Linked DNA regions of Alligator mississippiensis. The protein of the gene in region 1 interacts with the protein of each later gene in a pairwise test. Links are inferred from orthologs where the notes say so. Each region holds a gene or a part of one and is shown on either strand. Other genes may lie near its edges.

Region 1 (7,852 bases):
TGGAGACACACGCCAAGCCAGGAGATGCCCAGCCGGGATAGGGGGGCTGCAGCCAGGTGGCTCCTGCCCCAGCATGCGAGGTCCCGATCCCAGCTCCAGGCCACCTTCCATCCATTCAGCCACCCACAGGTGACTGTGGGACTGTGGCAGACTGTCATGGGCGGGGCTCAACCCCATGTGGGTGCAGCAGCAGGCCAGATTGGAGGGGGGGCAGCGCTGACTGCACTTGTACCTGCCCCTCACCTGGGTGAGCTGTGCTGCACATGCCCCCTTCCATCTTTTTCCAGTACCTAGTATGCAGGCAGCTGCCCACACATGTCCACACGCTCCCCACAGCATACAATAGTAAGACTTTATTTTGAGCTATTATACAATTACCTCTATATATGGTACTCAAAACATAAATCAGGACAGAAAATCTTTTTTGAGATAAAGTTTTAGTAGATGTTTGGATTTTAATATAGGATTTTAAATAAATTATAGATTTTAAAAAACAAAAATATCTGAAAGATTTTGTGTGCAGCCCTCAATAGCTCACCAAAACTCATTAAGTGGCTCACCAGCCAAAGTAATTGTCCACTCCTGCTCTAGCAGCAACTTATAGCTGTAGTTTCTAATCAGGCTCCTGCTTACTGCCCCTTTTGTGGCAAGTCACAGTTGTGCAAGTTCAGAACAGTCAGAGAAGATTTTAGCCTAAATATGTAACTTATAAAAACTCGAGTTAACATTGATGCTGATTGACTTCTGAATGTAGAATGAATACAACCAAAAATCTAACTAAGACTGGGGACACACCTCTTGGAGGACAATCACTCCCTCCCCAAACTCTCAGTTCTAATTCTCAAAGGGAACTTACAAAACACTGTCCGTAGACGAGCCTATGAACTTCACTTTATGACTCTACTGGAAACAAAAAATCATGGACTCAAAATAGACATTGGTTTTATGACACGTTACAATCTATCCGACATCCGATTCACCAGGTACCTGCCTGACCTGACCTCTTACATTCTTCTTTTCCCCCACCTTTTCTCCTCTCCTTTTCCATACTTTTCTGTTCTTTATCTTCCTGATTTCCATATATTTCCTCTCATTGATGCCTCTTTTTCACCTTGTATTATTGCCTCTGTATGTTCCCTTTAGCCTTTTTTCCTTCCTTAGCTTCCTTCCTCCTCCCTTCCCTACTTTACCTTTTTTCTAATTTCTACCTATTTATATTTTCACTGACATCCTGTCACATTTCTAGCTTCTCTCAGTTCTGTTTTCCTAATCTCCAGCTATTCCCTTTTTCACAGACAGCCTCTTTTCTACCTTGTATTCTATCAGTATAATGTCTCCCTTCTCTTTCCCCTGCCTTCTTCCCCCTCCCTCCTCTGCCTTACCTTTTGTCTTTCTAATTTCTACCTATTTACATTCTCACCGACATCCTGCCACACTTAACTTCTCTCATTCCATGGAGTCTAAGACCAGCAGAGACTCCCTATGCCTGAAGAAGGGTGACTGTGCCTGAAAGCTTGGCTAAGGACTTCCCCCCCCCCTCCCCCCACTACTCAGTTGGGGTAATAAAAGATATCACATCTACTAAAATACCTTGCCGATAGACATTTTGAGAAGCTTGAAGTATAATATGTAACAAAGCCCATTTATCTTCAAATAAATTGGGATAGGACTAAAAGGAGGGATGGACAGCACAAAAGTATGGTTCAGATAAGGCAAGGTTCTTTGAGTAGATGTGGTATCTTTCATTAGACCAACTAAATAGTTGGAAAAAAGGTCTTTGTAAGCTTTCAGGCACAAGCACCCTTCTTCAGGCATTGGGAGACTGCTCTGCTTCCGAGATCTCCAAGGCAGGAAAGAAGCCAAAAGTGCTACAAGACATCTGTGGAAATGTAAATAGGTGGAAGTTAGGAAGACAATTGGTAGAGATAAGACAGGGAAAGAATGCAGACGGTAAGCTCAGGCAGGTACCTGGTGAATCAGATGTCAGGCAGGTTGTAATACGTCACAAGTCCAATGTTTATATTAAGTCCATGAATTTTGTATCCATTAGACTTACAAAGTGAAGTTTTGGGCTCATCTATGAAAGATGTTTTGCAAGTTTCTTTTGAGGATTAGCAAAGAAAACTTACAAAACACCTTTTGTAGATGAGCCTACGAACTTCCTAGTCACTGAAGGCTGCTATTCCCTCCATATTAAACACTAAAGCTAACTTCCTGTTACAAGCAAAAGGTTTAATTTTTTTCCCCCTCAGTTTCCTTGCCTCTTGACTCACCCTTTATGTCACAAAAGCTCACATAAAATAAGTTACCTTAGAGCAAGGGTGGCCCATGAGCCAGATCTGGCCCTTGGCATTGTATCATCTGGCCTGTGGGAATACCCACCCATCTGTGGGTTGTAGTGCTACATGCTAGTTTAGGCACAGTGGTGCAGGGCTTGATCCTGGCATATGGGGCTAGGTGGGGGTAGCACAAAACCTCACAGCCTGATCCCAGTGGGCAAAGACAGTGTGCTGGGGTGACACAGGACCCAATCTGTGGGACCTGTGGGGCCAGGCTGGAAAGGCCCCTGCTACACCAGCCCCACGGGCTGGGGGAAGTAGCTGCAGCACCCCCCTGCGACTGCAAGACCTCCAGTGCGCCACTGAGGAAGCATTTATTCGAGTCCCACCAGAACAGGCTGGGCGAGACCCCATGAAGGCCAGCCCAACGCCCTGCTCGAGACGGAGCGGGGGTGCCTGTACCAACACCGTCTGCGCTCGCGGGCCTGGGCCCCGGCCTCTCTACGACATCTGGCGAGAGGCTCCCTCGCACTAAGAGGCCCGCCCTGCCCTGCCCGTCACCTGACGCAGGGTCCCGCCCGTGCCCGCTCCCCACCCCGCTCTTACCGGCGCGGAACGCCCGCCCCCGACCGAACCGCTCCCGCCCGCTCACCCTCTCGTGGAAGATGGACTCCATGTTTATTTGTCTCGAGCCAGCGGCCTCCGCCTCACGTGACAGCGGCCCAGCCAATCGAATAGCGTTTCACCAGCAGCCAATCGCCGCAGCAGTCCCGCTTCCTTCCCTGCCCTCAACGCGGCCACGTGGCTCTCGCCCCGCCCAATAACATCTCGACAGGCAGATCATGTCTGCGGCAGCTGGGCCGGCTGGGGAGGAACGTGCTTCCGGAGTAGCGTCACTGCCGCCGGCGCGGGCTCCCTCTGCAGGCCGGGAGGATCCAGACGCTGGCGCGGGGAAGGGAGGGCTGCACGGGCGCGGCCGGCTAGCGCAGCAGTGGCGCCCGCTGCCGGTTGCGGAGCGCTGGGTATCCTGGTCCGGTTCCGCCAGCCCGGGGATCGGTAGGTCTGGCCGAAGGGGTGAATTAGGAAATACATTTCCCAGCGCTTCTTGAGCTGCACGCGGGGCATTCAGGCACAAAGACGATGGCATTTTCACTAGGATCTACACAAACCTCTCCCCCGGGCACAACAGGCAAGGGGAAGGAGTAGGGAGTTATTTCTAAGCAACAGGCCATGTCTGACAATAATACTGAAAACAGGAATGAGTGAAAGAGAAGACACGGGAGAAGGGAGGAGAAGGTGTATCTCACCAAATTTAACCTCATTCATTCTCCCAGAGGCTGGTACACGAGACAGAGTGGCCAGGCAAAGACCACTGCTCCCCATCATTGTCATATCCAAACACTGAAATCCCAGACTGATGACATGGCAGCATCATTAGTTGCTCCATCCATGCTGTTTAGCTGGCTGATGTTTCCAGCTTAAAGAAAAATAAGCGTGTCTCACTCTTGGATGCTTCAGTTGGGCTTTGCCTTCTTTCTCAATCATTTGAGGTCCCTCTGGGGCTGAAGGGCCCAAGTCCTGAGCTAGGAACAGGAAGGCTGGCAGTTTAAGTCTGGTTGTAGGAAAGTGATCTTAAGTCTCAATTTATGGGCTGGGGCACATGACTTCTGAAGAGAGGCTGAGGGAGCTGGGCTTATTTAGTCTGGAGAAGAGAAGACTGAAGGGGCATTTAATAGCAGCCTTCAACTACCTGAAGGGCTCGAAAAAGGATGGAGCTGGACTGTTCTCAGTGGTGGCAGATGACAGAACAAGTAGCAATGGTGTCAAGTTGCAGCAAGGGAAGTTTAGGTTAGATTTAGGAAATATCACTATATCATTCACTAGGAGGGTACTAAAACATTGGAACAAGTGACCCAGAGAGGTGGTAGAAGGGCCATCCTTGGAGATTTTCAAAACCCAGCTAAGCAAAGCTTTGGCTGGAAGGATAGTTGGGCAGGGGGCTGGACTAGATAGCTCTGAGCAGGGGGCTGGACTAGATGACCTCCTGAGGTTCCCTCCAACCCTAATTTTCTACGATTCTATGTTGAGCTGTCACTTTCACCTCTCCCAAATGGACTTCTAGCAGACTCTACTTTTGACTGCCATCTTGTTTCTCAGTTTCTGGGATGAAATAAAAAACTGGGAAGTTCTATTTATACTACCTGATGACTAAAAATAAACCCTTCCATTAGCTCTTTCCATAACATCCTTCTAAATTCAAAACCACTAGGATTTTGTTGCAAGTTAATACTTGTATCAACAACTGGCAAAACTTTCAGGGCATGGGCACGGGCACCTAGAAACACCGCCCCCCCCTCCCAAACAGGAACTTTTTAGAGGACTCAGCATTGCTCTGAGGCACTGAACCAACATACAGATTGGAAGAAAGTTATAAGGTTTTAGGGTCTGACCTTTTCCTGTTCTGCAGAAGAGTCCCCATAACAAGAAATGCCACAGCAAGGAAAATGAGAATTGCCAGAGCTGGTCACACCAAAGGTCACTGATAGGAGACAGGACACTGATCTAAATGAACAAGCAGTAGTTCTCAGCATTTATAGACTTAACACACCCCTAGGAAAATGCCAGCTCTTAGCTTTCACTCATTTGTTACTACAGAAGATATAGTAATTCTCCTGTTGGAAAGAACTTGTAATGTTTTTACTACTGTGGATTCCTATTCAAAGTCTCTGGACTTAGCTTGTGATTCATGTCCATACACCCACCACTGCTAACTTTGCCACAGCACCCTGGTTGAGAATCACTGCTTTAGAGGGAGAAGATATTTAGAAAATGAATTCAAGGCTGCATCATACAAATTCCATATCACAAAAGGTAGAATTAAAAATCTGGATCCTTTGTGACAGCTGGAAATTATGTCTGTGTGATAAAGGTGCTTGCTGAAGGCTCTATGAAGATTAGACCGAGTGTTTTTCTGTATTTGTTTAGATATTAAGACAGCACTGTTGTGGAGGAGGTTTTGCCAATGAGCACCAACAGAGTGCACCTCAGCCCTGTTGGCCTTGGAGCCAGGGGCAGTAGATCACCCGGTAAGAGATGTGATCCGGCGATTAGTGCAGCTTTTACCCATTTTGCAGAAGCCAGGGCTGGCTAAGCCAACAAAAACTGCCAAGGCCATGGTGGTGGCCTCAGCAAAAGACAAACCCCCTGATCCCCCCAAATGGTTGGAAAAAGCTGGAGAGGGCCGGCCCAAGACTCCACGAGCGAAATTGTGGAAAGACTTGTTAGCTGCCAGTTTTAATAAAGTGCAAATTGATGGAGTGCCCACCAATGTTTTGGAAGGGCTGTGGGCTAAACACTGCAGTGAAAAAAGCAAGCCAAAAAGCAGAGCCATCTGCACCACCAGCAGGGTCACCAGAGGGATTCTCTGCCCTGAGGGCAGAACTCTTGACATTTTCCCAGGCACATGCAGGACTGCTAGCCTTTACACCCCCTAATTATGTGGCTTAGGAAGCCCGGCCGACCCAAGCCCCAATGAAAGGGGCCACAACGGGGGCAATAGTGGGCCGGGGACCGGTATCTAAAGTTAATATTGGCCCCTTGATTAAGATACCTGTACAGATTCAATTAGGTAAAAGTAAAAAGTCCATTGATATGCTATTAGACATGGGTGCCCAGATTTGAATTTTAGATTCTGCAGATTGGAAGGGGGAGAAAGGAACCCCTTATCAAGTAATTGGAGTTGGAGGCACCAGACGACCAGGACATCTGGTCCAAGCAACCTTCGCGTTACCTAATGACTCTAAGGTAACAGCAGCAGCAGTGATACTTAAGGGGGGACCAAGCTTACTGGGACTTAGTGTACTAAGAGAACAGCGGTTTGCCCTTGAACAAAAGAATTGGCAGTTTGGGTGCGCAGTGCCTCACTGAGAAACAGAAGAAACAGCTATAACAGCTGTAACTCGATGTAACATGATCCCACTAACTCTGCCTCCCATGAAAGGAGTACACAGACCCCAGTATCGAACTCCCTCCGAGGCCACCAAACCTAGCCAGTGTATCATAAGTCAGCAGTTAGAAGACGAAACTATTATCCAAAACCACTCCATATAACAATCCAGCATGGCCAGTGCACAAGCCAAATGGAGGGTGGTGACTGACTATTGACTTTCGAGCTTTGAATGCTAATACTGACCCCTTGATGGCTGTCGTCCTGTCACTACCAGCCTTGACAGAAAGCATCCAGTGTTATGGACCTGCGTGGATGGGATCCGTTGATATCAAAGACATGTTTTTTGCTATTCCCATCCAGGAGAGCCACTGGCCAGTATTTGCTTTCATGTGGATAGGGCAGCAGTATACCTACACCGTGTTGCCCCAGGGGTGGATACACAGCCCCACCCTGGCTCATGGGGTTTTAGCTACAATAGTTCATGAAGTCCAAGAAAATATAGATGATATCATAGTAGGCAGTCAAGACAGAGAGGCTGCCACCAAGGCCTTTGAATCATTAAAAGAGAAAGTGCTTACCTTTGAATTCACGCTGTCTGAACAGAAAATCCAAAAAGTAGGGTCCCAGTGTGAATTTCTAGGAATAGAATGGCAGAATGGGGGGCCCACAATACCAACTGAGGAGCTGCGAAATATAGTGGAGACCCCAACTCCCACTAACGTGAAAGAACTGCAAGCCACTCAATTTTTGGCATATGCATGTTCCTGAGTTTAGCGTATTAGCTCGTCCCTTGTATAACCTATGTAAGAAGAGAACTAAATGGGAATGGGGTCCTAAGCATAAATATGCCTTACAAGCCCTTAAAGAAGCAGTAACTGTTCATGCCTCCCTAGCAGCACGACGTCCCGAAGGAGAGCTTTGGCTCCATATAGGCGTCTCAGAAGGAGGACCACACTGGAGCCTGTGGCAGGAGTCCTCGGAAACAGAAGGAAAACCCCTTGGATTTTGGAGCCGAGGCTGGAGAGGGGCGGAAGCAAGGTATACTCTCTTAGAACAGAGGTTGTGTGAAGCAACAGCGGCCCTGGAAGCCACAGAAGCACTGACAGGAGAGTTACCCACAGTTATCACTACTCTGATACCTATTCTCGGAATGGCTCTGTCAGACTTCCAGCTACCACCTGGGGGGAGAGCCCAAAACACCACAGTCCAAAGGTGGATTTATTACATTTTGAGCCAGGTCCAACGAGTAACCCCAAAGGGATGCCCTGCATTAGTTGAAAGAGTCACAGAAAGTACAATTAATGTTTATCCTGATCAAACAAGCTGCAGTGAACCTTCACCCATCAAAAAAGCACCTCCTTTCTCACCTGAAATGGAGACCTCAGCCAATGTTAAAGTCTAGTTTACAGATAGGTCTGCTCGAGGTCATGCCTGGAGAGCAGCTGCCTTGAGGATTCGAGATGGCAAGAAAGTAGTATTACAAGGCCTCGGAAAAAGCGCGCGCAGTATGCCGAGCTCCAAGCAGTGCTCGGCATGGCTGTGCGGGAATTAGTAGAAGGTCCATGTCCTAGAAGGCCCATTTATATTTATAGTGACTCCTGGATGGTAGTAGAAGGATGTACCA
Region 2 (7,223 bases), on another chromosome or scaffold:
ATATTGCAGAATGACAAGGATGTTAGGAATGAAGCAAAATATCTATGCATGTTTAAGCAAGGCTGTCCCACAACAGGTTAATAAACAGACCTCAAGCTCCTACCTGGCTGCTGCTCCCCTTACTGCTCCAGCTGCTACTGCAGCTGAGGTCTCTAAGGTACCCCTCCTTCCCACAACTTTTCCTTTTTTGCTCCTGTCCCAAGGGACAAAATGCCACACTACATGGCGCACAGTGGTGTGGCAGTGTGTGTGTGGGGGGTTAATCGTTCATGCAGTACAGGAGCTGTGGCTTGTAGAAGTGTGGCCCCTGGAGAATGCAGCCCCATTGGTATGGTCTGTGAACCACAACCGCTTACAATCTGGACAGTCCTGTGTTAAACAGAATGCATTTAGTCATTGGCTTGAAAAATAAGCTACCCTAACTTCAAGAGTTTCCTGTTGACACTTTCTTGAAGCAAGCTTTCCATACAAATGTTCAAATACTGTGGCAGAATGCTAACACATGAAAATGCATGCTCTGTTAACGAAAAAGCTGTGTAAAGACAACTGCCACTCACTCTGCCATTCCTCTTGCTCCTGGCATTTTTTCCAGTTTGAACAAATACCAGCATAGCAAAATGTAATTAAAACATAAACATACTTTTGTCTAAGGTGATATTTAACACTGTATTGAAGCTGAAGAATTTTTTTACCCAACTATGCTACTTTTACCTAAAATGGTTTACACTCCCAGATCATGCTAAATACATTTGCATCTCTAAATCCTAAACAGCATTCATTTTACCAGTAGCTTTACAAGTCTATAACTCCAGACTGTCATAATTGCTTTTCACCTATCAGTCAAGAATGTGTCAGCTACATAGTACTGCATCCACTTCAAGTAGTGGGAATCATTTAATTTCAATTAAGGGATGTTAGTAAACAAAGAGTGCCCACACAGCAGTACAGGAACAAGTGATTTGGTCCATCATCATGACAAATGTTTAACTGACAATGGTCATAGAACTAAGCCTGCTCAACTGGCAACACAGTTTTCTGTATATGATATCAGGGGTGCACCTATGACCCCTGCATGCTTGCTCCAAAATTCATTCCACAGAAGTTGAACATATCTCCTGGACTTTGAGTAGTATTTTCCCTCATTTCATACATTACAGGACTTTTCAAACCATGAAGTCTTTAGCCAGCCACAACTTTCTTAAAAATGGTTTTATATCAGGCGGGACAATCTACCATCTCCACTCAGTTATTTCAAAAATAGTGCTTTGACAAATATAGAACAGCTCATGTTTTAGGTCCAGCATTCAGAAAATGCAAATTCTGGTCACATCTTTTAAAATCAATGTAGCACTAATATTTAAAACTAGCTCTGAGCTACAAAATATACTCATTGCACTGAGCTTTTTCCTTTGTCAAATAGGAAAAAAGTAGTGGTTCAATGCCAAGTGTTCAAGTCGTTACAATACAGCTTATGACAGGGATGTCAAAGTTGTTTGGCCTTGTGAGCCAAATCCAGACCACAAGGCTCCCCATGGGCCAGACGACCCAAGAACATCAGGGGCGGCCACCATTAATCTTGTGGCTGCCATAAGTCCTCTCTTCCGCTGTCACCAATTAACATTGCAGAGAGACCCATGGGTCAAATTTGGCCTACAGGCTGTATGTTCGACATGCCTGGTTTAATGACAAAAAGTAGTTAATGATATTTTCAGTGGTATGTATAAATACTAACATGATTTCTGATAACTGCATACTTCTAGTGCTGAACCTAGAGCTGCTGTTTCAGGATGGCCTCACATTGTTGCTCAACCTCAGGCTTGTTTTAAGTTTGATTTGTACAGGGAAAGTAAAAGACAGAAAATGCTAGAAACAGCAGCAGGTTTAAAAGCAACAAGTTTCCTGGGCCTATCATAACCAGACCGTTTTGGCCAGTCACAGCACAGGGCAGTGATCCAAGTAAATAAGCCTACCTCTAGCACGGAGGACATGAAAACAGCACACGAAGTGTAATGCTCCAGGGGCTCTCCGGAGCAAACACAACCTGACTCTGCGCAAGCCTCCAACTTAATCTGGGGCAGTGGCACACTTCAGTCTCAAGAAATATTTAAAAAAGGAGGCTGAGGGGACGCTCAACTAGCAAAAGTGTGACTAACCAGGTGCCTGAAAAGATTTGGCGGTTTAAACAGGCTCCGGTTTTTACCATGAGGCTCTGGAGCATGAGCTGGCAGTACAGCCCTACCACCAACCCCCCCTGCCTGGGCCCGCTTTTCCAGACAAGTTTCTCCTGAATTTTGACCAGCCCTCTGAGGGGATTTCACAGCACCCTGACGGCTGCTCTGGAGTTAAGGAGAGCAGGGAACCATCGCTGCCTGTTCCGCCTCTAAATCCAGCCCAGCTCATGGCTTGAGAGGAGCCACAGCAGCACCCCTGGGGCCAGGTCTTCGCTCACGTCCAGTCCCAGGATTCAATGGAGAGGCTGGAGGCAGGCCTCTGGGGCCCATCCCCCCGCCCCGCTGGCAGCCAGGCCGTTTTGCAGTCTCACATGCCCAGGAGCGCAGGCCGGGCCGCCTCAGCCCTCGGTGCGGGGGCCCGCACTAAGGAGCCATGGAGGCCTGCGGCCTGCCCGGAGCCGCGCCGCACCGCGCAGCCCGCTCCGCTCCTCCCCGGCCGCCAAGGCCCTTGCGACCCCCCGCCCGCCCGCCCGCCCAGGCAGGCCCCGGCCCCGGCCCCGGCCCGCACCGTCTCTTCGGGGTCGATATCGATCTTGAAGGTCTGCTGCTGCAGCGTCTTCAGCGTGATCTGCATGGCGGCGCCGCGGGCCCAGCGAGGCCGCCCCCGCCCACCCGCCGGCTGCTGGCGCGGGCTGTCCGCGCTGCGCTGCGCTGCGCTGCGCTGCGCCGGGAGGGGGGCAGGTGCGCAGGCGCGGAGGGCGGGGGGAGGCAGCGCGCGCGCGCGCGCGGGAGCCGGGGGTGGCGGGCCGCGTGGGGGAGGGGTGGGTGCCGCCGCCGCTCACGGCCTGGCCGCCGCCATCGTGACTCGCGTCCGCAGCCCCCCGCGCCAGCCAGGGCGGGGGAGGGGAAGCGCGCGGCGCATGCGCGGGGGGGGGGAAGTGGCTGGTGCGCAGGCGCGGAGCGGGGCCCGAGGGGCGGGGCCGCAGGATTCTCCCTCCTCCATCCCGTCAAGTTCCCCTTAAAAATAAATAAAAGCCTCAGCGCGGGGTGAACTTGAGACAAACGCACGGGCTAGGCCCAGCGTGAGTGGTTATGCTGGGATAAGGACATGTTCAGACCCGGTCTGGGCGGGCATGCCAGGCCCTGGACTGTTCTGCTCCGGGACAGGCTGCATCTCACGTCTGTTCCTGGCTTCAGACCAGCGGCTCTTGGTCTCATTTGGACTGCAGTGCAGGCGGCCTCGTGCCGCCTCTCGCTCTTCCTCAACTGCGGGGAAGCGAGAGATGTCGGGTATCCAGGTTGCAGCCGCATTGGTCTAGAGGACAAGGCAGTCAGGACTTGCAGTAGAGACGATATCTTTTATTAGACCACCATGCAGCAACCGGCGACCCTCCTGGAGCACAGTGTATGCATGAGGGCCACCCAGACCTTAGCTGCCTATGCCTGGGTGGGATATTTTGGAGGAGCGGAGGCTACTAGACCAACAAGATGAGAGCAAGTCTCGTCCCAGAAGAACTCAGGAAGGCAGCCAGAGGGCAGCAATGGGGTTTTGACAGTGTGAATTCCTATCTGAAATCATGCGCAAGGGTTTGCACGCCTCGCCACACTAATATTGTATAGCGCTCTTCAAAGGGATGTCACAGCACCCTAGCTGAGCACCCCCTATGCCTTGGGTAGCAGGAGTAGGGAGAGAGGGTAGGTCTTTTTTTAACTGAAAGTGGCACCTCGTTCCCCTGGGAGAAGAGGAAGCCAGTCTTTAAGGCCAGGGTCAGACATTACACTTGTACTGGTATAAGTGATTGGAAACCAGTCTATACCTGTAATAAAACAGACATTCAGCACACAAAACTGGTCTATACTCGTAACAGAGCAGAATTTCAGCACAGACTGGTTTAAAAATGGTGGAACCCAGTCTAGGATTTCCCCCCCCCCCCCGGGGGCAAATGTGTGTTCTGTTCATAAATGACTCGTCCTAATACTCCAGGCCACTGGCAGAGCTCAAACATGTGATGTTTCAAAGGATGAGTAAAATTTAAGAATTATTCATGCAGATTTAAATAATTTTTTTAAAAAACCCGCCTATACCAACATGTCCAGGAACTGCTAACAATCCTGTAGGGTTTGAGTCCTAAATGGTAATTTTCCAATAGTGTATTGTGTGCAAATAATGAAATAACTCCACCAGAAAATATACCAGTGCAGAGGAAACAACCCCTTACAACCCTCCTCAAGGTCATGCATTTCTCATTAGACCTTATAAAATAAATGGCTTTTGCACTGTCCCCAAGTCATTGCGTTCAGAGTATTTAGATCATGGGGAAAAGCCCTCATAAAGAACATCCTGTGAGCAGCACCATCTTTTTTATATAAAAGGTTTCTCCTCAAGCGCTTTTGCTGGCCACTGCAGTAAGTGATGAGGAGAGAGAGTCTTTCAAGCCAGAAGGTTTGCAACGGTTGAGGACTCCAGTTACTGAAAGTCTCAGTAAAACACATACTTTGCTGAAAGAAGACAGTAGCATTCAGACATCTCAGTGAGTGATCTCCTTTTCCCATAATAGTACTGGATACAAACTACCCTTTTGAAATGTGTGGGCACCTGGGAGAGAACATTCATGTCCTACTGTCCCATCTTATTTTTAGTTTAAACATTGGTGCCCAATTACTGAATTAAGTTGGATGGTAGTGGACACAACAAGAAGGAGGTCTTAATGTTACTTACAGAAAATCCCATTGGCATTGCTATATTTCTACAAGAAATACATACTGTAAACTGTAGACACAGTCAATTACTGATGGACCACGCTGACCAGTGCCGACTACAGACCTAGCAGAAGCCTGAGTTATGAATATGATGTGCTTAAAATGATATACAACCAATAATCAACAAGCTTGCATTTAAGTCATAAGCAATAGCCTGGGTAAACAGAATAAGAATCTGTTTATCAAGGCCACTAGTATTAGATTAGGCCAAGAATGAATAACTGCTTTGTGGACAGTGTTTTATAGAAGCTAAAAGGTAACGACTGATGTTTTAAGAATTAAGTTGTATGTAGTCATCTAGAATTTTATTGGAGGAATAATGGGTCTTGTTTAACTTGTTGTCAGCCTTGGCCCCTTTCAAGGGACTTATGCTAAGTAGCAGCAGGGTGGTTAAAGCAGGCCACAAAGCCTGTTTCAGAATGAACTTTTGTAAATGTATTACAACTGGCTTAGTCAGCAAAGTTAAAGAAACAGAACATGGCAAATTGCATTCCCAGAGGGTGAGGGAGAGAGAGAGATAAGAGGTCCTCTCGCTCTCCCAGAGTTGTATTTTTCACAAGAACATAGACCTCAGCTAACTGGCTTCCACAGAAAAGCTGGGATAGTCCAGTTCCTAAAATCTCAGTGAAACAAAGAAATTTGAATAACACCAATCAGAATATTAAAATAAGCCACATATAAATATTGGGTATTTGGGAAAGGCCTCAACAAATTCAAGATGCCTGATGCTAGCCTGCATGCTACCTTCCTCCTGCCTTCTGCATCTCCCCCTCTCCCCCCCAGTTGGTATAGCTGAGAAACTGTGTTGTGCTCTTGCAGGTAACTTGAGATAGGGTTGGCAAGCCAGTCAATTGACCAGTCCAGTATTATCAACTGACTGGTCCATTAACTGCATATTTTTTGACTGGTCAAAAATTATAGCAATTTTATATTTTTTTAAGCTACATTTATTGTAGTTTTTTTGACAGACATATGATTTTTTATTGCTTTTTGACACATTCCTTAATGGAAAATGTTGTGCTTTTTCTGTATATTATTAGACCTATTGGCAAATTTTTACAGTTTTTGACTGACATTTGACCCGTCAACTGACTGAACTTTATTTGCCTGGTCAAATACCCTGTGTTGCCAACTCTCATGATTTTTGGCATTGTTCTTAAAATCTACACTTCAGGAATGTGAAAAACTTAGCTCTTTCTTTTATTTCTATATATAAATATAGATTATATATATGTATATAATCTATATATAAATATAGATGTAATCTAAATATAGATAAAAGAAAGAACTAAGGTTTTCACATTCCTGAAGCAGAGACTTTAAAAACAATGCCAAAAATCATGAGAGTTGGCAATTCTGAATACCCAGCCCTAGCTAGAGACAAATGCTTATTATTGTGCTTTGGTGTTGGGCTCTAGACCTGTCTCTTGCCTTTTTATCTGACTTGGGTGGTAGTAATATCTTATCTGCTAAGAGGGAATGGAGGATCATTGGGAAATGTGATTGTATCTTATTTGATGTTCAAAAAAAGTAATCATTAAGGAACGTGTAACTGACCCTTAACTTGTGTCTAAACTTGCAAAAGAATTCTCATCTTAGGCTGTAGTCTTGTCTCTCTGGAGACCGAATGGTACTTTGTTTTTGGTAACAATACAGCTACATTTTTACCCACATGACATATTTTTAAAAGCAAGAGTCTTTCTAAAATTTGTGCCATAGTTCAAACAAGGATTAATTTGGAAAGTCTGTTATGCTGGAGGTCTGATGAGATAAATCATTGTGACCCCTTCTGGCTTTATAATTGATGAATGTATTAATTATACACATTTGTATATATATATGTATATATATAAACACATTTGATATGGTTTTTAATACCTTTTTGAAGTTGCAACCCCTTTCAACATTTTCATTTGACCAGTACTTAGAAAAAAGAATCCAGGCACATTCTTGACTCAAAAAGGAAAGTCTATGGCCTGATGGATGTTGCATTACTGTAGTGTGACTCGGAAGAAGGCAGACCCATCTCTGCCACTGGCCGTTGTTCCATCTCAGCTGTGTGTTCTTGGGAACCCTGGCACAGGATGCAGTCTGTCTGACTCACCCCCTCCTCCCTCTGCTCCTCTACATAAATGAAACTGATTAAGATGCAGTGAGAGACACACCTAAGACCCTCCAGATAACGGTGACAAGAGTGAAACAACTGCCCTAGGTCTCATTTGCATCTGAGATGGAACCACATGACCATTCATTTACATGAGAGATGGAGAACAGAAAGCCTGAAGCAGAGAC

Evidence for each region. The genes of interacting proteins can lie anywhere in the genome.
Region 2: the proteins of ATXN3 (region 1) and RAD23B interact in a two-hybrid assay, tested with the Homo sapiens proteins (2 studies listed by BioGRID and IntAct). The link is inferred for Alligator mississippiensis from reciprocal best matches to the Homo sapiens genes ATXN3 and RAD23B.

Annotation. Positions count from the first base shown.
Region 1 is NC_081825.1:275,333,706-275,341,557, forward strand, and holds the start of ATXN3 (ataxin-3), read right to left. Parts: upstream 3,031-7,852; 5' UTR 2,956-3,030; coding exon 2,932-2,955; exon of another isoform or gene 2,886-2,931; intron 1-2,885. UniProt on the Homo sapiens protein: Deubiquitinating enzyme involved in protein homeostasis maintenance, transcription, cytoskeleton regulation, myogenesis and degradation of misfolded chaperone substrates.
Region 2 is NC_081826.1:159,380,855-159,388,077, reverse strand, and holds the start of RAD23B (UV excision repair protein RAD23 homolog B), read right to left. Parts: upstream 3,020-7,223; 5' UTR 2,806-3,019; coding exon 2,740-2,805; intron 1-2,739. UniProt on the Homo sapiens protein: Multiubiquitin chain receptor involved in modulation of proteasomal degradation. Binds to polyubiquitin chains.